4 linked regions of the Saccharomyces cerevisiae S288C genome follow. Changing the gene in region 1 together with any one later gene gives a genetic interaction. Each region holds a gene or a part of one and is shown in the gene's direction. Other genes may lie near its edges.

Region 1 (6,406 bases):
GGACCAAGCAGAACGTAACTCCATCCATGAAAAGTTAATTACAAGAGCAATGACACTGTATGAGACATTTAACTCTTTAGAAGGCATTGAATGTCAAAAGCCTCAAGGTGCCATGTATTTATTCCCTAAGATAGACTTACCTTTCAAGGCAGTTCAAGAAGCTCGCCACTTAGAGTTAACTCCGGATGAATTTTATTGTAAGAAGTTGTTAGAATCTACTGGCATTTGCACTGTTCCCGGTTCTGGGTTTGGTCAAGAACCTGGTACTTACCATTTAAGAACAACATTTTTGGCACCTGGTCTGGAATGGATTAAGAAATGGGAAAGTTTCCATAAAGAATTTTTTGACCAATACCGTGACTGAATAAAAGGGGGCAGAACAGTCTTCAATAAACATTTAAATAGCTAGTTTATTATAATAATGTGATCGTTTCTTTCTTCCACAACTCACATATAGTTATTTGATATTATCGCATCTTCGCTTCTCTATGCCATGTTTCCATCAATACTTATGTTTTATTTAATACATATTTGTATCAGTATATCATATCATTTCATCTTCTTTTGCTTCGATTTGTAATGTTTGTGCGTATAAAATCAATTGCGTAGTTCGAACACCCGTTAATCCTTTACTTCTTACCAATGGCACCTAACTTTGCTTTTCTTTCGACCTTACTACGACAGATTTAGATTCAAACGATGACGCTAATATCAATAGCCAACATGGAAGCCAACCTATACAAAGTACAAACCAACTCCAACATTTCAAATCCAACCATGCTGAAACCAGTTTGTTTATTATATCAAATCCATGAAATTCATCATCAAAAAATAGTCCGAATAAGGTTATTGAAATAAATGGATTTGTCAAAATTAATAGTACTAAATTTTTTAGTTTTTGTTTCTGTTGTTGGGGGGTTGCTGGCGTTGTATCCATGTGATTCTCGACGAGCTCTATCTCATCTTTCGGCTCAGTTTTTATTGGGTTAGAGGATTGAGTTGTCACCTCATGTTCGCTAGAACTTTCAACAATGGTCTTCACAAATGTCATAGGAAATGCCAATGTGCCGATCAGTAAAGCCATTGCAAAGTTTATCATTAGCAAAGATGTTGAAACCAAACTGAAATATAAAAAAGCAACATTTTTCAACCTGTATGATAGTGGTTCTGAGATGTGAATTTTTCTGGAAAGTATCAAAGGTAAAAAACAAGATGCCATGCTAATTGTCATCAATAATCCCGATGAAGGTATTAGAAGAAACGCTTGTGAAACAACAAATGATATCACCAATGACACGAACCAAACCAACAACGCTACCAAATTATACTCGGAAAATAAGGATATATTTGCATAAGCATTGTTTATAAATGCATTTAATGAACTTATGGCGAATGCTATAGATAAAGCCACAGCGCTTGGCAAATAACTACTAATGGATACGAACTGACGTGGTGCTAATAACAAATAAAAGAAGAACGATTGGTGAAATTTTTCCAAAAGGTTATTAATAGAGCGAAACATTGCTTCGGGTATACGTCCAAATGTAGTAATATCATGACCACTGTTTCCATGTGCTTTCAATGTTACAGATTGAATCCTCCAGCCGCTAAATGCCTCGTTACCATGGGGCTTTTTAACACCGGACAACGCCCAATCCCTTATTCCCAGGCATAATATTTTTAATCTTGACCAGAAATTATTATTAGTTAACTGATCACTGGGTAGACCGTGCAAAGAAACTTTCATACCTTCATGTTCCGTAATGGATATAGCGATGTTGACAAGATCCAAATTGGGCAGCTCACCATTCAGACCGTCGTATGAGATTTCTACATACTCGAAGAAATCTTCCGTACTCGAATAATCCAACACAACAGCAGCTTCAATGGAACCACCAGTCAAATCTAAGGAAGTATGGTATGCCTCAACCCATGATCTTAATGCTGCACGAGGATTTTCGCTGAAGACAACAATTATATTCTTGGACCATACTGGCCAACGTGAGAAAAATCTTGCTAAAGATACACCCAAAGCTGCGCCGCCAATATTGAATTCATCATCTGAATTAAACCATGGAACGGCAAGCACCATCGCTTCTGTTCCATCACCCCTAGGAGCGTGCATTACACCGTACAATGTTTCTCCATATTGTTCATTTTCGTAAATAGCAGTCTTAGTACCAAATTCTTGTAACCAAGAACCCATCAAATTGTTTCTTTCCATAGAAGTCATGTTTACCATTTCTTTAATTTGAGATCGATAGCCCCTCAAAATGTTCCATTCAGATTCTCTAAAGTAACTATACGCTTGTGAAGGCATCAATGCATTCTCAGAAATGTATGTTCTTCTGTACTGTCCATCCATAGGCAGAATAGCTATAGAAATAAACCCAAATAGAGCGCATAGCATGGAAATAACTGGTAATAAGGCGATTATACGCGGGACAAGCCCCATATCAACAATCCTTCGATGCAACTTCTCCAATAAGGCCATTCTTGGTGTATTATACGCGTCTTTGGTCTGTCAAGTCCTTTTATAAGACAGCAAATGTCATTTCTTTCTAAGTGTAGCCGGCGTGTATTGTTTATGACTTTTTTTTCTACCGCTGGCATTAAAGTGAGAGGTTCACGATGCGTTCCCAATAACTTCGTAGGGATGGCGATCAATATACAAATAGAGGGAAGCCAAACTCCCCACTATAAAGCTGTTGGCACGGTTTTATAAGCTTCAACCTTTCTAGGCTACAGGATACTCAAAAAAAATTACTGCGGTATTATCAACATAGTGCTCTTTGGAAAAAAAAAAAGAATAGTACTCATTAAAGCCACCTGACTCAAGTCTTCTATTGACGGTAATAAGTTAGCAAGCATGGAAGCTATTTCACAATTACGTGGTGTTCCATTGACACACCAAAAGGACTTTAGCTGGGTCTTTTTAGTAGATTGGATTCTCACGGTAGTAGTATGTTTGACAATGATATTCTACATGGGAAGAATCTATGCATACCTTGTAAGTTTTATATTAGAATGGCTACTATGGAAACGAGCGAAAATCAAGATAAATGTTGAGACACTTCGTGTCTCCTTACTAGGTGGTCGAATACATTTTAAAAACCTTTCCGTAATACACAAAGATTATACAATTTCGGTATTAGAGGGTAGTTTAACATGGAAATACTGGCTTTTAAATTGCAGAAAAGCAGAATTGATAGAGAATAACAAGTCTTCTTCTGGCAAAAAAGCAAAGCTTCCCTGTAAAATTTCCGTAGAATGTGAAGGTCTAGAAATTTTTATTTACAACAGAACAGTGGCGTACGATAATGTTATAAACTTACTATCAAAAGATGAACGCGATAAATTTGAAAAATACCTTAATGAGCATTCTTTTCCTGAACCTTTTAGCGATGGAAGTAGTGCTGATAAATTAGATGAAGATCTAAGCGAATCTGCATACACAACGAACTCTGATGCATCAATTGTTAATGACAGGGACTACCAAGAAACAGATATCGGCAAACATCCAAAGCTACTGATGTTTTTACCAATTGAGCTTAAATTTAGCCGCGGTTCCCTACTGTTAGGAAACAAATTCACGCCATCTGTTATGATTCTAAGTTATGAAAGTGGAAAAGGCATAATAGATGTTTTACCTCCAAAAGAGCGATTAGATTTATACAGAAATAAAACACAGATGGAATTCAAAAACTTCGAAATTTCTATCAAACAAAATATTGGTTACGATGATGCTATTGGATTGAAGTTTAAAATAGATAGAGGGAAAGTGTCAAAGTTATGGAAAACGTTTGTACGAGTCTTTCAGATAGTAACCAAGCCTGTTGTACCGAAAAAGACTAAAAAAAGCGCAGGCACATCAGATGACAATTTCTATCATAAATGGAAAGGTTTATCTCTTTATAAGGCTTCTGCGGGCGACGCTAAAGCAAGTGATTTAGATGATGTTGAGTTCGATTTGACGAACCATGAATATGCTAAATTTACATCAATTTTAAAATGCCCAAAGGTCACAATTGCATATGACGTGGATGTTCCGGGCGTTGTGCCACATGGTGCACATCCGACAATACCTGATATTGATGGACCAGATGTGGGCAATAACGGAGCACCTCCAGATTTTGCTTTAGATGTTCAAATTCACGGAGGATCCATCTGTTACGGACCTTGGGCTCAAAGACAAGTCAGTCATCTACAAAGAGTTCTATCACCGGTAGTTTCAAGGACAGCCAAACCTATAAAAAAACTCCCGCCAGGTTCTAGAAGAATATATACACTTTTCAGGATGAATATATCAATAATGGAAGATACTACTTGGCGTATACCGACGAGGGAAAGTAGCAAAGACCCCGAATTTTTGAAACACTACAAAGAAACTAATGAAGAATATAGGCCATTTGGATGGATGGATCTCCGATTTTGTAAGGACACCTATGCAAATTTCAATATAAGTGTTTGTCCTACAGTGCAAGGTTTTCAGAATAATTTCCATGTTCATTTCCTGGAAACCGAAATTAGGTCAAGTGTTAATCACGATATTTTGTTAAAAAGCAAGGTATTCGATATTGATGGGGATATTGGATATCCATTGGGTTGGAATAGCAAAGCTATATGGATAATTAACATGAAGTCAGAACAATTAGAGGCGTTTCTGCTACGTGAGCATATAACTTTAGTTGCAGATACGCTTTCAGACTTTTCCGCTGGTGATCCTACGCCTTACGAACTTTTTAGACCATTCGTATACAAAGTCAATTGGGAAATGGAAGGATATTCCATTTACTTAAACGTCAATGATCACAATATTGTTAACAATCCGTTAGATTTTAACGAAAACTGTTATTTATCCCTTCATGGTGATAAGCTTTCAATTGATGTCACGGTACCCCGTGAGAGTATTTTGGGGACATACACAGATATGTCCTACGAGATCTCAACTCCAATGTTCAGAATGATGTTAAATACCCCCCCTTGGAATACATTGAACGAATTCATGAAACATAAAGAAGTGGGGAGAGCATACGACTTTACAATTAAAGGTTCTTACCTTCTCTATTCCGAGTTAGATATTGATAATGTCGATACGCTAGTCATAGAGTGTAACAGCAAGAGTACAGTACTTCACTGCTATGGGTTTGTCATGAGGTATTTAACAAACGTAAAGATGAATTACTTCGGTGAATTTTTTAATTTTGTGACGTCAGAAGAGTACACAGGTGTCCTTGGCGCTAGGGAAGTCGGAGATGTCACTACGAAAAGCTCGGTGGCAGATTTGGCATCTACTGTAGATTCAGGGTACCAAAATAGCAGTCTAAAGAACGAATCTGAGGATAAAGGTCCTATGAAAAGGTCAGATTTGAAAAGGACTACCAACGAAACTGATATTTGGTTCACATTTTCGGTTTGGGATGGTGCTCTGATATTACCAGAAACGATTTACAGTTTTGATCCATGCATTGCACTACATTTTGCCGAACTTGTAGTGGATTTCAGAAGTTGTAATTATTATATGGACATAATGGCGGTTCTCAACGGGACTTCAATAAAGCGGCACGTTTCAAAACAAATAAATGAAGTATTTGATTTTATACGTCGTAATAACGGAGCTGATGAGCAAGAGCACGGATTGCTTTCGGACCTCACCATTCATGGACATAGAATGTATGGATTACCACCCACAGAACCTACCTACTTTTGTCAATGGGATATCAATCTCGGAGATTTATGCATTGATTCAGATATTGAATTTATAAAGGGATTCTTTAATTCCTTTTATAAGATAGGTTTTGGCTACAATGACTTGGAAAATATATTATTATATGACACTGAGACCATTAATGATATGACCTCGCTAACCGTGCACGTTGAAAAAATAAGAATAGGCCTTAAAGATCCGGTGATGAAATCTCAATCAGTTATTAGTGCTGAATCGATATTGTTTACTTTGATCGACTTTGAAAACGAAAAATATTCACAAAGAATAGACGTGAAAATTCCAAAATTGACAATTTCGTTAAATTGCGTGATGGGCGATGGCGTAGACACATCATTTCTCAAATTCGAAACAAAATTAAGATTTACAAACTTTGAGCAATACAAGGATATCGATAAAAAAAGATCAGAACAACGCAGATATATAACAATACACGATTCACCCTATCATAGGTGTCCTTTTCTTCTTCCGCTGTTCTATCAGGATTCGGATACATACCAAAACCTGTACGGGGCTATAGCACCATCTTCGTCTATCCCAACTTTACCTCTTCCCACTTTGCCTGATACTATAGATTATATCATTGAAGATATTGTGGGCGAGTATGCTACCCTTCTGGAGACCACAAATCCATTCAAGAACATATTCGCAGAAACTCCATCAACTATGGAGCCTTCAAGA
Region 2 (6,220 bases), on another chromosome or scaffold:
CACCGACAGACCATGTCAGAACAACTCAGACAAACATTTGCTAACGCTAAAAAAGAAAACAGGAACGCCTTGGTCACATTTATGACCGCAGGTTACCCAACAGTCAAAGACACTGTCCCTATTCTCAAGGGTTTCCAGGATGGTGGTGTAGATATCATCGAATTGGGTATGCCCTTCTCTGATCCAATTGCAGATGGTCCTACAATTCAATTATCTAATACTGTGGCTTTGCAAAACGGTGTTACCTTGCCTCAAACTCTAGAAATGGTCTCCCAAGCTAGAAATGAAGGTGTTACCGTACCCATAATCCTAATGGGTTACTATAACCCTATTCTAAACTACGGTGAAGAAAGATTTATTCAGGACGCTGCCAAGGCTGGTGCTAATGGTTTTATCATCGTCGATTTGCCACCAGAGGAGGCGTTGAAGGTCAGAAACTACATCAATGATAATGGTTTGAGCCTGATCCCACTAGTGGCTCCTTCTACCACCGACGAAAGATTGGAATTACTATCGCATATTGCCGATTCGTTTGTCTACGTTGTGTCTAGAATGGGTACTACTGGTGTTCAAAGTTCTGTGGCCAGTGATTTGGATGAACTCATCTCTAGAGTCAGAAAGTACACCAAGGATACTCCTTTGGCCGTTGGGTTTGGTGTCTCTACCAGAGAACATTTCCAATCAGTTGGTAGTGTTGCTGACGGTGTAGTGATTGGTTCCAAAATCGTCACATTATGTGGAGATGCTCCAGAGGGCAAAAGGTACGACGTTGCTAAGGAATATGTACAGGGAATTCTAAATGGTGCTAAGCATAAGGTTCTGTCCAAGGACGAATTCTTTGCCTTTCAAAAAGAGTCCTTGAAGTCCGCAAACGTTAAGAAGGAAATACTGGACGAATTTGATGAAAATCACAAGCACCCAATTAGATTTGGGGACTTTGGTGGTCAGTATGTCCCAGAAGCTCTTCATGCATGTCTAAGAGAGTTGGAAAAGGGTTTTGATGAAGCTGTCGCCGATCCCACATTCTGGGAAGACTTCAAATCCTTGTATTCTTATATTGGCCGTCCTTCTTCACTACACAAAGCTGAGAGATTAACTGAGCATTGTCAAGGTGCTCAAATCTGGTTGAAGAGAGAAGATCTTAACCACACGGGATCTCACAAGATCAACAATGCTTTAGCACAAGTTCTTCTAGCTAAAAGATTAGGCAAGAAGAACGTTATTGCTGAAACCGGTGCTGGTCAACACGGTGTTGCCACTGCCACTGCATGTGCTAAATTTGGCTTAACCTGTACTGTGTTCATGGGTGCAGAAGATGTTCGTCGCCAAGCTTTAAACGTCTTCAGAATGAGAATTCTCGGTGCTAAAGTAATTGCTGTTACTAATGGTACAAAGACTCTAAGAGACGCTACTTCAGAGGCATTCAGATTTTGGGTTACTAACTTGAAAACTACTTACTACGTCGTCGGTTCTGCCATTGGTCCTCACCCATATCCAACTTTGGTTAGAACTTTCCAAAGTGTCATTGGTAAAGAAACCAAGGAACAGTTTGCTGCCATGAACAATGGTAAATTACCTGACGCAGTTGTTGCATGTGTTGGGGGTGGTTCCAACTCTACAGGTATGTTTTCACCATTCGAGCATGATACTTCCGTTAAGTTATTGGGTGTGGAAGCCGGTGGTGATGGTGTAGATACAAAGTTCCACTCTGCTACTCTAACTGCCGGTAGACCTGGTGTCTTCCATGGTGTCAAGACTTATGTCTTGCAAGATAGTGATGGTCAAGTCCATGATACTCATTCTGTTTCTGCTGGGTTAGACTACCCAGGTGTCGGTCCAGAATTGGCATATTGGAAATCTACTGGCCGTGCTCAATTCATTGCAGCTACTGACGCTCAGGCTCTGCTTGGCTTTAAATTATTATCTCAATTAGAAGGTATTATTCCCGCTTTGGAATCTTCTCATGCTGTTTATGGCGCTTGCGAATTGGCTAAGACGATGAAGCCTGATCAACATTTGGTTATCAATATTTCTGGTAGAGGTGATAAAGATGTCCAAAGTGTCGCTGAAGTCTTGCCGAAATTAGGTCCAAAGATAGGTTGGGATTTGAGATTCGAAGAAGACCCATCTGCCTAATGAGTAATATCTGATAAGGAACGCTTTTATTTAGCTTTTTAACTACATAGACGAATATAATATACGATCGGGATACATTAGCATATTCAGCTCTTTTACCTCTCAATTTGCTCAAGATTAGTATCGTGACCAATTTTAGATCATTTCGGTCAGAACAGCCACATTTTCGCGTAATTTAAAAGTTCAATTATTGTATGCGTGACACACTATATTAGCGTCAACTGTTAATAAGGAAGTAGTGGATAATAACGGTTCAGGTTGCTTCACAATGCTTATTTCAAAATCTAAGATGTTTAAAACATTTTGGATACTAACCAGCATAGTTCTCCTGGCATCTGCCACCGTTGATATTAGTAAACTACAAGAATTCGAAGAATATCAAAAGTTCACGAATGAATCTTTACTGTGGGCACCGTATAGATCCAATTGTTACTTTGGTATGAGGCCCAGATATGTCCATGAAAGTCCACTAATTATGGGTATCATGTGGTTCAACAGTTTGAGTCAGGATGGCTTACATTCGTTAAGACATTTTGCAACGCCTCAGGATAAATTGCAAAAGTATGGTTGGGAAGTGTATGATCCAAGAATTGGTGGTAAAGAAGTTTTTATTGATGAAAAAAATAACTTGAACTTGACTGTTTATTTTGTAAAGAGCAAGAACGGGGAAAATTGGTCAGTGAGAGTTCAAGGTGAGCCTTTGGATCCCAAGAGACCATCTACAGCATCTGTCGTATTGTACTTTAGTCAAAATGGTGGCGAGATAGATGGAAAATCTTCCTTAGCAATGATAGGTCATGACGGCCCTAATGACATGAAATTCTTCGGATATTCTAAAGAATTAGGCGAGTATCATCTTACAGTAAAGGACAATTTTGGTCACTACTTCAAAAATCCGGAATATGAAACCATGGAAGTAGCACCAGGAAGTGACTGCTCTAAAACAAGTCATTTATCACTTCAAATCCCGGATAAAGAAGTTTGGAAGGCTCGTGATGTTTTCCAATCTCTAGTTAGCGATTCGATACGTGATATACTGGAAAAGGAAGAGACAAAGCAGCGTCCTGCTGATTTAATACCAAGTGTTTTAACTATTAGAAATTTGTACAATTTTAATCCTGGTAATTTTCATTATATACAAAAGACATTTGATTTGACCAAAAAAGATGGGTTCCAATTTGATATCACTTACAATAAACTTGGCACTACTCAAAGTATTTCCACCAGGGAACAAGTTACGGAGTTGATTACTTGGTCACTAAATGAGATAAACGCGCGTTTTGATAAGCAGTTTAGTTTTGGAGAAGGTCCCGACTCAATTGAAAGCGTGGAGGTCAAAAGAAGATTTGCTTTAGAGACGCTATCAAACCTATTAGGAGGAATCGGTTATTTCTATGGGAATCAACTAATTGATCGTGAAACAGAATTTGATGAGAGCCAGTTTACAGAGATCAAACTGCTGAATGCAAAAGAGGAAGGTCCATTTGAACTGTTTACCAGCGTTCCGAGCCGTGGCTTTTTCCCACGTGGATTCTATTGGGATGAAGGTTTCCATCTTCTACAAATTATGGAGTATGATTTTGACCTTGCCTTTGAAATCTTAGCGAGCTGGTTTGAAATGATCGAAGATGATAGTGGTTGGATTGCTAGAGAAATTATACTGGGTAATGAGGCAAGGAGTAAAGTTCCGCAGGAATTTCAGGTGCAAAATCCCAATATTGCTAATCCGCCAACTTTATTGCTAGCATTTAGTGAAATGCTTTCTAGGGCCATTGAAAACATCGGCGATTTCAACAGTGACAGCTACCACCAAGTCATGTTCAATAGTAGGACAGCCAAGTTTATGACGAACAATCTAGAAGCCAATCCTGGCTTGCTAACCGAATATGCCAAGAAAATTTATCCTAAGCTATTGAAGCACTATAATTGGTTCAGAAAATCTCAAACAGGACTTATTGATGAATATGAGGAAATATTGGAAGATGAAGGAATATGGGATAAGATTCATAAGAACGAAGTTTATAGATGGGTTGGGCGTACCTTCACTCATTGTTTGCCAAGCGGTATGGATGACTATCCTAGAGCACAACCACCAGATGTAGCAGAATTGAACGTAGACGCATTAGCATGGGTGGGCGTTATGACAAGATCCATGAAGCAAATTGCTCACGTGTTGAAGTTAACACAGGACGAGCAAAGATATGCACAAATTGAGCAAGAGGTGGTCGAGAATCTGGATTTGTTACACTGGAGTGAAAATGACAATTGCTACTGTGATATTAGCATCGATCCAGAAGACGATGAGATTAGGGAGTTTGTATGTCATGAGGGTTACGTCTCCGTATTGCCCTTTGCATTGAAGCTAATCCCCAAAAACTCACCCAAGCTAGAGAAAGTAGTTGCTTTGATGAGTGACCCAGAAAAAATCTTTTCAGACTACGGGCTGTTATCACTATCGAGACAAGACGACTATTTCGGCAAGGATGAAAACTATTGGAGAGGCCCAATTTGGATGAATATTAATTACTTGTGTCTTGACGCAATGAGATACTACTACCCAGAGGTGATTCTCGACGTGGCTGGTGAGGCTAGCAATGCCAAGAAACTGTACCAAAGTTTAAAGATTAATCTCAGTAACAACATATACAAAGTTTGGGAAGAACAAGGTTATTGTTATGAAAATTACAGTCCGATAGATGGTCATGGTACTGGTGCTGAGCATTTCACAGGCTGGACAGCACTTGTTGTCAACATCCTTGGACGCTTCTGAATCTATGTAGATATTTTCAGTCATATAAACAGATATGTAACCAGATATGTACCAGTATGCAGGATGAAAATTATAAATGTTCCAGCTATTCGAAAAGGGCCTCGCATCTCTTAGTTAGAGCCAGCATTTTCAGCTTTTTTTTTCTCGCGTTTATTTACATTTCGATGCGGCTGTGAGAAAAAGTTAAAAAATCGTGGAAACCAGCAACTGGTAACTAGCAGTCTGGGCCATTGCAGCTAAAAGCCAGACAAATAAACAATCGAAAACACACTCGAAACATGCATTATGAAATGTCACATTTTTTTTTTTCTTTTGGGGATTAATGGTTGCGAAGTGAGGTCTTTTCTATTTACTGCGGTAAGATGAATAAAAGTTAGGGAATGTTATTGTTTACAAGCTGGATACTAGATCTCAAAATGTTAAAGTGTAAGGACTGACAACAAAATATGCTGCACCGAAAACAAATTAAGAATCTGAGGAGGGACTATTTAAGTGGAAAGAAAATTGAAGTTCAATGATCGTGTTTTCCTTCTGCTTATCCAAATACACTGTTATATATTAAGGCAACAGTACTATAATCGTCAGTTACGCAACAAAGACAGTCCACTCTTTTAGAAGAATAAGCCTTTACTGACATACCTCCACTGTAATAAATCTATTCTATTCTCTGTACTGTTTATCGACTTATTATTACGCTACACTCATTGATATAATATCTAATAGAAAACCATCATGATTTCACCCATAAGCTTTCTATCATCGCTGCTATGCTTAACTTATCTAACCTCAGCTTTACCGATTCTTCCTAAGAGAGAAGTTGTAACGAGAGTTCACACAGCAAGCACAACTAATGTTGTGACTGATTTTTACTCCACTACTACCGAAGTTGTTATTGCCCCAACTGTCGAATTCCTAATAAGCGATAGTGTTACCTTTACAACAACCTTAATTCCACAAGGTGTGAACCCAACAGCTGAACCAACTACGACTATCACTAAAGTTCTCTTAAAAAAGGCTGAAATGAGTACATCTTCGCAGCCAACCTCTACTTTGCAGCCAAGCACTATTCCACAATCAACCTCCTCTTTTCAAGCAGAATCTACTTTGCAAGCCGTCTCTACGCAACAAACTGCTATGTCTGTTTCTGCAGGTACTAGTGAGGATGTGCAACAATTAGCTACTACTTCTACCTCTATCTCCTCCTCTCCTTCCCCTACCACTACGTCTACTTCCACACAAAATATCGTGAGTGGTGTCGGTGAAGCCAATGTTGAAGGCAACACTCAAAGTCAGCATCATTCTTACCAAGCAGCT
Region 3 (4,347 bases), 550 kb from region 1:
TCCTCAACGCAGGCATATCTTCACCTGGACATGCAAATAACAATGGCAATGGAATGGGCCTTTGGAATACCTTATGCTGGTGCCATTTATTAACTGCTTTGGCCTTTAAAAATAAGAGCATATTATCTAGAAGATAAAATTGTATGTCACCAACAACTGTTCCGTCCGATTTTGACAACTCCTTCCGTGATAGTATACCTTCATGTTTAATTTTTCTCCTTTCGTCATTTAATCCTAAATTAACGTATTCGTTTTTGAAAAGAATCTTTTGTTTCAACAATTTTACATCATGTCTATCTTGTGCAGCACCACTTGCTTGATCAATCCTTTTCATAAAATCCCTTAATGCATCCATGGCTTTGCTTAAATCTTCATAATCACTTTTGTCCTTCTCGGGGTCAGTAGATTTCATGATTTCTTTGACCAATAGCATATATCGACCTGGTCTTGAAACACCTTGAGATAAAAACGAATCAATACCATGACGTAAGGAGGAGCTCATCATATCGTCATCAAATCTAGCAAAATAGGGATTGACTGATCTTTGGGTTTCAATCAAGTACTTCGCATATGGTCTTGAAGCGACATATGAAACAAATGGTTCAAAAAATGGAATGAATCTTAAAACAATGTCCCCAATTCCTCTCACAACTGGTGAACTTCTTTGCCTATCAGTTAAAGCCTTCAAAAAACGTCTATTCACTGAATAGATATCGTTTATATGTGCAAAAACATGCTTGATGAAATTTTTTCTAATATCTGCTGAAATAATATTTGTTTCAGCCAAAGTCTTCATGAATGTGTCTCTTGTAATTTCTAATGATTTTACAAAGTTCTTCTCCGTGATATAAACTTCATAAATAGCCTCTTGTCTTTTTATTTCCTTTTTTGGTAAGTTTTCCCAATCCTCTTTAGATACGGAACTTGTCCAAGATGGCTTTTCTTCGTCATCATCATCCAATGCCATTGATATATTACGTTTCAGGCCGCCATTTGGTTTCAGATTTAACCTTGCTTGTTGCTCAAGACGTCTTGGACACGAAATAGAGTAACACAAAGCGTCTCTTGTGCACGTAGGGGAATAGCATTCCGCCAGTAATGTAAACACACCATTGACGTTATGAATGGCTGCAGGGTTCTTTTGCTGGGACAATGAACTACTCATATGTAGCCTCGACCCTGTCAAAGTTGCCTGATCACTATTCAAAGATGAAGTTGAACTTGATGGAACCATTCCGGAATTCGGATAAGAGTGGTTCCCGGAATTAAAAGATGATGAGTTTGGGAGTAGCATCAGTGGATCATGGGCGTTTGTGGAACCTGTTCCTGTAAATCTTGAGTTATCTGTAAATTCGTAAACTTCATGTGGTGAATCTCTTAACCTGTGCTCGTATACCACATCATGGAACAGCTTTTGTGCATCTAGTGATCTACCAAATAACAAGGCTAAGTTTCTATCAGAAGTTCTAATGATAGCACAGATGACATCGACTGCCTGCTGCCCTGTAAATGCGTCACGGTAAACTAATCCATCCTTCTTATGTTCCCCGAGTTGTATCGAACTTTTAAATTTTGTGGCGACTCTTGACAACAAAGCTGGATATACCTGAGGTTTTTTTGATGAAGCGCTCATAACAGGTCTAGATGCCGACAAAGGTGTCATACTACTTCTACGTGGAGAAGATAGAGAAGTTCCTGAAACCGAAGTGTATCTTTTTAAAGCTAATGAGGTGGAAGAAACTCTCGTTTTAAGACCCAACCCAATATTAGACGAGCTTCCCATAACACTTGAGGAGTTTCCAGACCCGTGGACATTATTTAGGCTACTGTGACTGTTTGAAGAGTGATGATGATGATGATGATGATGAGGATCTGAGAATGGGTTGGAAGTTATATCATATTTTTGCGTAGCTTTCCTGCTGTTAGAAGTCTTCGATTGAAAAGATGATGCAATATTTTTTAGAGTAGATGAGTTCAACGACATCGATCTAGATGATATAGAATGTGAATGTTGAGGGTAATTACTGTTACTACTACCCACTTGATAATGTGCGCCATTATTATTAGTATTATTATTATTATGATTGTTAATATTATTATGCTGAATATGCTGGTGATGTTGGTGCTGTTCGTGCAAGTCTTTGGAACTTGGTCTCGAAAAGAAACCAAACCCTTGCAAAGGCGATTTTCTAGCCTGTGTAGGAGTGGTTGATGCACTGCCGGTGGAAAAACTGCTCTGCTTCTTAAGACCAGCAAGTGCTAGTTGCGGGAGCGAAGGTTTCCTCTTAGGCACAAAAGCTGTAGTACTTTTATTCTTCTGGTAAACTTCATTTCTTGGAGACATTGGAGGCAAAGGGTGGTCATTATAGTGCTTGGCTTGTCTACTAGCACTATTACTCGTTGAATATATATGGGACATCGATTTAGCATGAACAATGGGATGGGAAGATGTGGCATCTCTTGCCTTCTTTGGACTGCTCACAGGTGTATTATCAGCACTAGACAAACTTTGTGTATCTGGAACTTCCTTAATATTAGTCTGCTGCGATAAAATGTAATTTGAGCTTTTCCCCTTCATTTCGTTATTTGGTATATCAGAATCATCGATGGCGGCTTCAACTCCAGAACGTCTCCTCTGCTTGGCAATAATGATGTCATTAGCAATGTCTTCAGAAAGCAGAACATTTAGATTCTGGATATTTTCGATTCTATTAGGCAGCAGCTGAGAACTTATGTCTCCGTGCGAGTCACTATCAAAAGTAGCGAAGGAATCTGGCCTCCTTTCTACACCAAATATTTGGGAGTATATGTCATTTCTGTCCCCTAAGCTGTCAACGTTGGTTTCGCTCATAACCGCAGGAAAAGAGATGAATTGTCCAATTAAGTCAGCAGTAATAGAGCACTGTAATCGATTACACTAACAGAGCGAATGAATATATTAATGACCACAAACAACAAATAAAAAAATAGCTATAAAACAGCAAAAAAAAAATCCAGGAAAACCTAATCGGCTCAATACTGTTATTAAATTAGGTCGTCAGTACTCACTGGTCATAATGCCCTTTAAAAACTTTCTTCAAGCCTTAGGACCTCGGACTTCCATACCATTGTTTTCACTATCATTCTCTCTCAGTTTCACAGACTCGGCCGTTACGCGGATCATCCACCACGAACCCCTATCCTTTCCGTTGCGGTTTGGTTTAGTATAACAATGAATAACAATAAATTAAACACTTGGTGCGCAGTAACAAACATCAATAAAGGAAGATTATTGGTATTATCAGTCTCTCCACTCCCAGTATATTAATAAATGCCTGCGTATCACTCGACTTTCCCTGTAGATCCTAACACTGACCGCATGGTAGGGAACTTTGCGCTTCTGCCCTTGAACACTAAGTTCAGGGGTCCTGCATACCCCAGCAATTCCGATTACGATATTATCGACGAGTGCTTGGACCTATTTCGTGCCAATTCCTTCTTCAAGAATTTTGAAATTAAATCACCCGCCGACAGAGTGCTCATCTACGGAATTCTCTTTATCAATGATTGCCTAGCCCATTTGAAAATAACAACGTCATTTAACGAAGCCGTCAAAGTGTTAACCAATGTGGCCTTGGACAACTTTACTTTACCAGGTACACCGGGTTTCCCTCTGAATAATGTTTACCAAGTTCCAGTACAAGATCATAATTCGATGGACTTGTTGAAGACTTATATTCAGCAATTCCGTCAAGAATTGGCAATGAGACTATTAGAAAGAGTCTATAGCTCTACAGATTCTAAGGAATATCCCTCAAAGTTTTGGTTGGCGTTCACAAGAAGAAGATTCATGAACAAATCTCTATAAAGGTATACGGTGCAAGGAAAATAATAAAAACTAGAATTTATGGGAACATAATAATCCACATGCAACTTTATTTGAACCGAAAATTTGAAACGGGAAAGAAATATATAAATGTATAAAGTATAAATACGTCAAAATATGCTTTAATGAACGATATACACGTTAATATACAAGTCTTATTTGTGTTTTGTTCACTTATTTACCTTGATTCTGCTGGTTTTTTGTTGCGCTTTGGAATAATTTTAATGCCCTACCCTGTAGCGCATCCGTAGCTTTTTTTATTCCGTTTACATCAATTGACATGTCATTTTCGTTAGCCTTAAAATTCTTTATAGCTTGTCTCAGAGCTTTGATGTCCTCTACGATATTAGAATACTCTTTTTCGCTAGAAATCAGTTTTTCATATCTTTTAAATAAATTCTCAGTATCACTTATCATAATGTCAGCCTTAGAGATAAGCTCTAACCTTTGCCTGATCAAGTTATCTTGTGCCCTATTTGCAT
Region 4 (7,320 bases), on another chromosome or scaffold:
TATGGGCCAATCATTATGGTTCTTGACCCCAAGGTATTGAGAAAAGTTCCTGACTTCGTGGCCGCCGACATTCTTATTTGATTTCGTCCCTGAAGTAAAAAAGAATTTTAATGTTCTGTGATATACTGCCAAAACTGTGAAAATGGCATTGATTGTGAAGAAATCTATTAAAAATGGCCTATGGTCAAAAAGCACACGGAATGGTAACGAACTCCTGTCCAGTTTGGCAAATAATACAATAATCGCTAAACACACAAGAATTTGCTGGAATTTTATTAATGTACCCTGGGAAAAATTTTTTTTTTTCAACCATTGTGTTAATTTTGCGATCTTTAATTTGGAGGCTATAGCTTCCACAAGAAAGTGTGCGATAATCCACGAAGGTACCTCACCCTTGGTAAGCATTAACGATATTCCTACAATGGAAGACCAGTGAATATAATGATTTTTTAAAAATGGGAACTTCATCAAAGTTGGATATAGTATGTTCAGCAAGACTAATATAGTAGACTCTCTTAGCCATGGCATGATATCATTTATTTGAATATTTTCACCCTGTAATTTTTTCAATTTCCATTTTTTGACATAAAATACTAGGTTTATTCCATAGACTTGGGTTATTCTTTTCAAGATGATGACGAGTTGTTTTCTTCTCTTCTTGTTCAAGAGGAGTAGAAGCCTTCTTATTATCTGCTTGAAGCCAGAAACTGCTTTCCCAGTACCATTTGGACGATTGTGTTTCATATAGTTAGCAAGTGTATACTCTCATTAGCTCTGTTCGCGATGTGTATTTCGTGGTGCTTTATATAGGGTTTTTAACTTTTCCCCATGAACATTCGCTGTTATGTATTCGCAACTAAAAATAATGTCTCTCTTTAATTTTAATTTACATCCAAAGTACGGAAATGGTAACTAAACTATATACAAAAAAAGTTCGCTCAAAAAAAAGTTTAACTATTGTCCAATTGTGCCCATTTTGGTAAATCTGTTTTGAACTTGAATTTGCCATTAATCTCCTCATACTTCCAAGCATGCAACCATAATTCTAGGTCTGATAGCACAGGATCCTTTAAATCAACAGTATGACATTCAGGACAAAATGTTTCCATTGTCCGACAATTATTTTTTGTCTCATCGACAAATTTTTGAAACCTCACTTTCAATTCCTCAGCATCTAAATCCTGCTGATTCTCCCATCTAGGAAACTGAGTTATAAACTTAAGCCTTTCGGGGTATTTTGTAATATGCGAACAATAAACACTATCGTTGACGATGGGATGACCGAGCCTAGCTAAATGGATTCGAATTTGGTGTGTTCTTCCAGTTATTGGCTTACAAGCGACGACAGTTTCATCAGCATGAGAGAAGTATCTTATTGGGTAGAACTTGGTAATAGCATCCTTCGATGTCGATAAACCAACTGGAAACTGTCTCTTTGGATCGATAGAATATATGGGTGTCATTTCCACTGTAACTTTGGAAGTGTCCTCAAAAGTCGTTTCCGCCGCATTTTCATTGTCCAATATCAATTCGGAGTGAGGAAATCTTCCCTTGACCCTTGCCAAGTAGATCTTAATCATATCTCTTGAACGAATACTCTTCTGGATTTCCCCCGCACTCTGACTGTTCTTGGCCAATATCAACAAGCCTGATGTGATCTTGTCTAACCGATAACAAGGAAGAGCATCTACACCATGTAACTTCAGTAATTCAGTAATTGTGTTCTGGTAAAACTGACCGGTTGGATGCACTGGTATACCACTGGGTTTATCAATGACGAGGATACTCTCATCTTCAAAAACAATATTGAATCCCGCTATTCTGCCAGGTAAATCCTCCGCTTCAACTTCCTGGCTACACCATTGTTTTACCGGCGGTTCGTGCTTATGCGTAGTTGTTTCTAAAACATCATGATTCTTGATTATGGTAGTCATGAGATGATCTGGTACCAGCGGCACACCATCTCGGATCAACCTATATGTGCCTTTCCTTATTTGGTCCAAATAATAAGCTCTTGGGCGAAGTTTAAATTCACTAACGAGAACGTCTATTAGTAACTTACCCAACCAGCGCCCCTTCACGAACGCTGATCTTCTGTTATAATAGGGCCGTACCTTTCTCAGTCCATTCTGTGTATATACCTCAATAACTTTGATAGTTGACATACTTGACAATCATCCTTTTGCCCACTGATTGTCTCGAGCAATCGTCAATAAAGTTTTCACAAGAAACATTTATTTGCCTTTTAATGAAAGAAAAAAAGTAAATTTTTCATTAACTTTTATCATTGTTATCAATCTTCTTGTATGACAGCAAGCTATATATACATACATATGCAAATCTAATGTACATAATTTCAACTATTCATACCATTAGTACCATAAAGTCATTCTTTTTACTGTAAACTACACTTGCATTATCCTTCCTCGTCCCTCTTTATTCTTATAACGTTGAACAGTGATTTCTTACCATGTGTATTTTTGTACTCAACCCGCAAAAGATAAGCATCCTCATACAGAAGTATTATTATTACCACTGTTACTTTTATTGTCGTTATTTGTCTTGCGTTTTTATGTTTATGGAGATAAAGTGGGAATGACTTTATCATATGCAATTATTAGCCGCTATAAGGCTAAGATTCTTCAAATTTATTTCATTTTTCTTTTACCCTTGCCACCCTTGCCCAGTTGCTCCTCCTCTGCGGTTAGCAACGCATCGCGCTCCTTTTTAGCTCTTGCTTTTTCTTGTCTTTTTTGCTCTTCCTCTAATTTTTTGGCATTCTCTTTCCTCGAACCTTGTTCCCATTTAGAAGCTTCCTCCGCTTCTAGCTGCTCCATTTGTGCTCTTTGTTTAGCATGTGCCTGATCTCTTTTTCTTGCTAAGCCAGCTGCTTTCTTTGCGGCGGATTCTGAAAATCTTTTACCCATCTTTTTACTTCCTCTTTGCTATTCTATTATTTCCTGTATAGGCAGGTTTTGTGCTCAATTGATAAATTCTTTTACCTATTAAATATAAACTTGAGTTTCAACTTATTCAGCTTTATTTTAAACATTATACAAGTTTTTCATTTTGAGGGGTCTTTAACTGGAAAAAAAAAGCTTTCACGACTCAAAGAAAAAAAAAAAAATTTTTTTAGGGTAAAAAAAAACTAAGGGCTAATATGAAAAATACAAAGGTTATGTTACTTTAAAATGAGGTTTGGAAGAAGGAGAAAGACAAAAAAGCAGGGCACATGTCAAACTCTTGGAAACTTGAGATCCTAGCCCTAACGCATGTGCTACTTCAAGGAATTCTTCTTATATATGACAACTATTCCAATTTGATGCTAAAACTAGCCCAAAGTGGTTGATGCTGTATCAATTGGTAAAGAATCCTCGATTTTCAGGAGCATCCAACGACGAAGATGAGGATTATTAAGGGCAGAAAGCGAGGCAAGAACAAGAAGCCAACGCTAATTTTAAAAATTCATGTCATTCAAGCTGAAAATATTGAAGCCTTGAAGACATTCAATTGTAACCCGGTATGTTTTGTTACCACTAATACATTTTATAGTCAAAAGACGAACAAGCTCAAGAACTCAAATACACACTGGAATCAAACCTTGAGGATCAAACTTCCGAGAAATCCAACATCTGAATGGTTAAGGATTATAGTATACGACGCCCTACCAACCGGAGCTCCCCCTACTACCCCCAGTAGACCAAGGACAACCACTGCAAATACATCTTCATCGACACTGTCAAATTCAGGGCTAAGTTCTCACTCTCATTCGTCGAGAAATTTGAATGTTACGTCCAAAGGTAATCAAACTTCAACATCAATTAATTCAGTATCATCTTCAGCTACACCGGCCCCTTCACATTCTTCCTCTTCTCTCTCAACAACAGGTCCCGGGTCCACACACAAAAATAGGATTAATAGCTATCTATATTTGGGTGAAGCAAAAATTTCATTACTGGATTTATTCAAGAGGAAGGACACCACGACGAGCTATAAATTTTCAATTGAAGCTCAGCGGTACCATCTATACGATATGAAAGGAGGGAAAGACCAAGATTCCTTGAACTGCAACTTTCTAGTGGGCGATATTTTGCTTGGATTTAAGCTAGAATGTAACGTTAAAAGAACCCCGACTTTTCAGGCTTTCAATGCTTGGAGAAATGAGTTGAACACTTACTTGGGCAGAATAGATAGAAATAAGGCCCGCATGAGATCTTCTAGTTCTTTGCCACCTCCACTAGAAGATATGTTGAGCAATAGTTCAGCTGTTAGTGGAAATGAAATACGACGCGAGAAACCATATAGCGATACTGATCTAGCCCACGATGAAGAGGTCAATGCCGAGGATGAAATAGATGCTGAGGAATCTATTGAAGATATGAATAGCAGCGGCAGCATTTGTACGGAGAGGAGGTACGATATAGACAATGATACTATATTCGACTCTATATCTGAGGTTGTTTCGCTAAATGATGAAGAACTAGATATTCTAAATGATTTTGAAGAAGCAGATCATCCAAATGTGCCAGACATAAATGTGCATGACATCGACGAAGATACCCGTATCAGTCTATCTTCAATGATAACAGCTTTAGATGAATATGATATCGTAGAACCAGAAGATGTTGCAAAATTACCTGCAGTGTCGGAAAATGACATAACATCAGTGGATGACGAAGAATCTGAAAACCAACAGGAAAGTGATGAGGAGTTTGATATATATAATGAGGATGAGCGTGAAGATTCTGATTTTCAATCAAAAGAATACATTGGGAGTCGGCTTTTACACCTGCAAAGGGGTAAACATAATAAATCATATGCAAATTACTTATACAGAAGAGCAAAAAGTAACTTTTTTATATCGAAAAAGGAACATGCGATGGGGGTAGTATTTATGCATATTGGGGCTATCAAAAATTTACCTGCATTAAGGAATCGGTTGTCCAAGACTAATTATGAAATGGATCCATTTATCGTTATTTCGTTTGGTAGAAGAGTATTCAAGACATCTTGGAGAAAACATACTTTAAACCCAGAATTTAATGAATATGCCGCTTTCGAAGTTTTTCCCCATGAAACGAATTTTGCTTTCAGTATCAAAGTTGTTGATAAAGACTCATTTTCATTCAATGATGACGTTGCAAAATGCGAACTGGCTTGGTTTGATATGCTGCAACAGCAACAACATGAAAACGAATGGATACCTTATGAGATACCATTGGATCTCACTGTTGAGCCAGCACATGCTCCTAAGCAACCGGTATTATATTCGAGCTTCAAATATGTTTCATATCCGTTCTTAAAAAAGAGCTTTTGGAAAGAAGCTGTTGACACATCAGTCAACTTAGAGAGACTCGACATTATTCAAGTAATGCTCTATCTTGAACGTCTTGGTTCATTCACGATGGCCGATTCTTTTGAACTCTTTCAGCATTTCAATAAATCTGCTTGGGCCGGCCAGAGCATTACTAGATCACAATTAGTTGAAGGGCTACAGTCATGGAGAAAATCCACTAATTTTAAACGCATCTGGACATGTCCTAGATGCATGCGTTCATGCAAACCAACTAGAAATGCTAGACGTTCTAAACTGGTTCTAGAAAATGACTTGATAACCCATTTTGCCATATGTACGTTTTCAAAAGAACACAAAACTTTAAAGCCGTCGTACGTCTCATCTGCATTTGCATCCAAGAGATGGTTCTCTAAGGTTTTGATAAAATTAACTTATGGTAAATATGCTTTGGGATCTAACAATGCAAACATCTTGGTTCAAGACCGAGACACAGGGATAATTATTGAGGAAAAAATAAGCGCACACGTAAAGTTGGGAATGAGGATTATATACAATGGTAAAAGTCCCGAGTCTAAAAAATTTAGATCCCTCTTGAAGACTTTATCAATCAGGCAAGGCAAAAAATTTGACAGCACTGCATCTGCCAAACAAATTGAACCTTTCATAAAGTTTCACTCGCTAGACCTTTCACAATGCCGAGATAAAGATTTTAAAACATTCAATGAATTTTTTTACAGGAAACTAAAACCAGGAAGCCGGCTGCCTGAAAGTAATAATAAAGAAATATTGTTTTCACCAGCAGATTCAAGATGCACAGTGTTCCCAACTATACAAGAATCGAAGGAAATATGGGTGAAAGGAAGAAAATTTTCTATTAAGAAACTAGCCAATAACTATAATCCGGAAACATTTAATGACAATAACTGCAGTATTGGTATATTTAGACTGGCGCCACAAGATTATCACCGGTTTCACTCACCATGTAATGGTACGATTGGAAAACCTGTATATGTGGATGGAGAGTATTATACTGTAAATCCAATGGCCGTTCGTAGTGAGTTAGACGTCTTTGGTGAAAATATCAGAGTTATTATCCCCATCGATTCTCCTCAATTTGGCAAACTACTGTACATACCTATTGGTGCAATGATGGTTGGATCCATACTATTGACCTGCAAAGAAAACGATGTAGTTGAGAGTGGACAGGAGCTGGGCTATTTTAAATTTGGAGGTTCTACTATAATAATCATTATCCCGCACAACAACTTCATGTTTGATTCCGACCTTGTGAAAAACTCTTCAGAACGCATTGAAACGTTAGTCAAAGTCGGGATGAGTATAGGACACACATCAAATGTGAATGAATTGAAGAGAATCCGTATTAAAGTAGACGACCCAAAGAAAATTGAACGGATCAAGAGAACAATTAGTGTTAGCGATGAAAATGCCAAGAGTACAGGAAATGTAACATGGGAATATCATACTTTACGGGAAATGATGAATAAAGATTTTGCTGGGCTATGAAGCCGCCGAAAAATTGGCTGTAGTTAGTGGTTACCAAAATGGAAAAAAAAAAAAAACATGAACAATCTCCCTCAGACTTTATTATAGACTATAGCGTGTACAAACAAGTCATCGTTGATAATGAAAGCAATGGTTTCATACCAGGAAATTTCCTATGAAAAATATGCATTTTTATTAGTAACAAAAGAAACTATATTCCTAGTCCTCTTGCAGAAAATACGATATAATACTTAAGTTAATATTTACAGTGCAGTAAGTACCTTTTTCATGACCTCATATTCGTTTGTTCCTCTTGCAACCTGAATGGAATTTTTTTCAAAGGTACTTCTCGGCCTTTCTTGTTAGATTGCTTTCCATATGTTTTATCGGAACCCAATCTAGCATAATTTATAGTCCTTTTCTCCTTTGAAACATCAATACGATCTAGGAAACTTTGTGAGAGAGATGGTATAATGGATTGGCATAAAATGGAGAGGATTCTAGACGTTTCCATAGCCAAA

What was found.
Region 2: mutations in CSF1 (region 1) and CWH41 together harm fitness more than expected from each alone (negative genetic interaction), as found in Saccharomyces cerevisiae (3 studies listed by BioGRID, with this or other methods).
Region 3: mutations in CSF1 (region 1) and ARC18 together harm fitness more than expected from each alone (negative genetic interaction), as found in Saccharomyces cerevisiae (3 studies listed by BioGRID).
Region 4: mutations in CSF1 (region 1) and PSD2 together harm fitness more than expected from each alone (negative genetic interaction), as found in Saccharomyces cerevisiae (4 studies listed by BioGRID, with this or other methods).

Annotation. Positions count from the first base shown.
Region 1 is NC_001144.5:312,195-318,600, reverse strand, and holds the start of CSF1 (Csf1p), read left to right. Parts: upstream 1-2,869; coding exon 2,870-6,406. Other genes in the region: alanine transaminase ALT1, read left to right, coding at 1-364; GPI-anchor transamidase subunit GAA1, read right to left, coding at 650-2,494. UniProt on the Saccharomyces cerevisiae protein: Tube-forming lipid transport protein which provides phosphatidylethanolamine for glycosylphosphatidylinositol (GPI) anchor synthesis in the endoplasmic reticulum. Required for the glucose and other nutrients uptake at low temperature.
Region 2 is NC_001139.9:442,328-448,547, reverse strand, and holds CWH41 (mannosyl-oligosaccharide glucosidase), read left to right. Parts: upstream 1-2,404; coding exon 2,405-4,906; downstream 4,907-6,220. Other genes in the region: tryptophan synthase TRP5, read left to right, coding at 13-2,136; SCW11 (putative glucan endo-1,3-beta-D-glucosidase), read left to right, coding at 5,639-6,220. UniProt on the Saccharomyces cerevisiae protein: Cleaves the distal alpha 1,2-linked glucose residue from the Glc(3)Man(9)GlcNAc(2) oligosaccharide precursor highly specifically. Seems to play a role in beta-1,6-glucan synthesis.
Region 3 is NC_001144.5:861,218-865,564, reverse strand, and holds ARC18 (Arc18p), read left to right. Parts: upstream 1-3,310; coding exon 3,311-3,847; downstream 3,848-4,347. Other genes in the region: Rho family guanine nucleotide exchange factor ROM2, read right to left, coding at 1-2,851; Hsp70 family ATPase SSQ1, read right to left, coding at 4,040-4,347. UniProt on the Saccharomyces cerevisiae protein: Functions as a component of the Arp2/3 complex which is involved in regulation of actin polymerization and together with an activating nucleation-promoting factor (NPF) mediates the formation of branched actin networks.
Region 4 is NC_001139.9:833,739-841,058, forward strand, and holds PSD2 (phosphatidylserine decarboxylase 2), read left to right. Parts: upstream 1-3,403; coding exon 3,404-6,820; downstream 6,821-7,320. Other genes in the region: PEX35 (Pex35p), read right to left, coding at 1-744; pseudouridine synthase PUS6, read right to left, coding at 951-2,165; LSO2 (Lso2p), read right to left, coding at 2,649-2,927; methionine--tRNA ligase MSM1, read right to left, coding at 7,086-7,320. UniProt on the Saccharomyces cerevisiae protein: Catalyzes the formation of phosphatidylethanolamine (PtdEtn) from phosphatidylserine (PtdSer). Plays a central role in phospholipid metabolism and in the interorganelle trafficking of phosphatidylserine.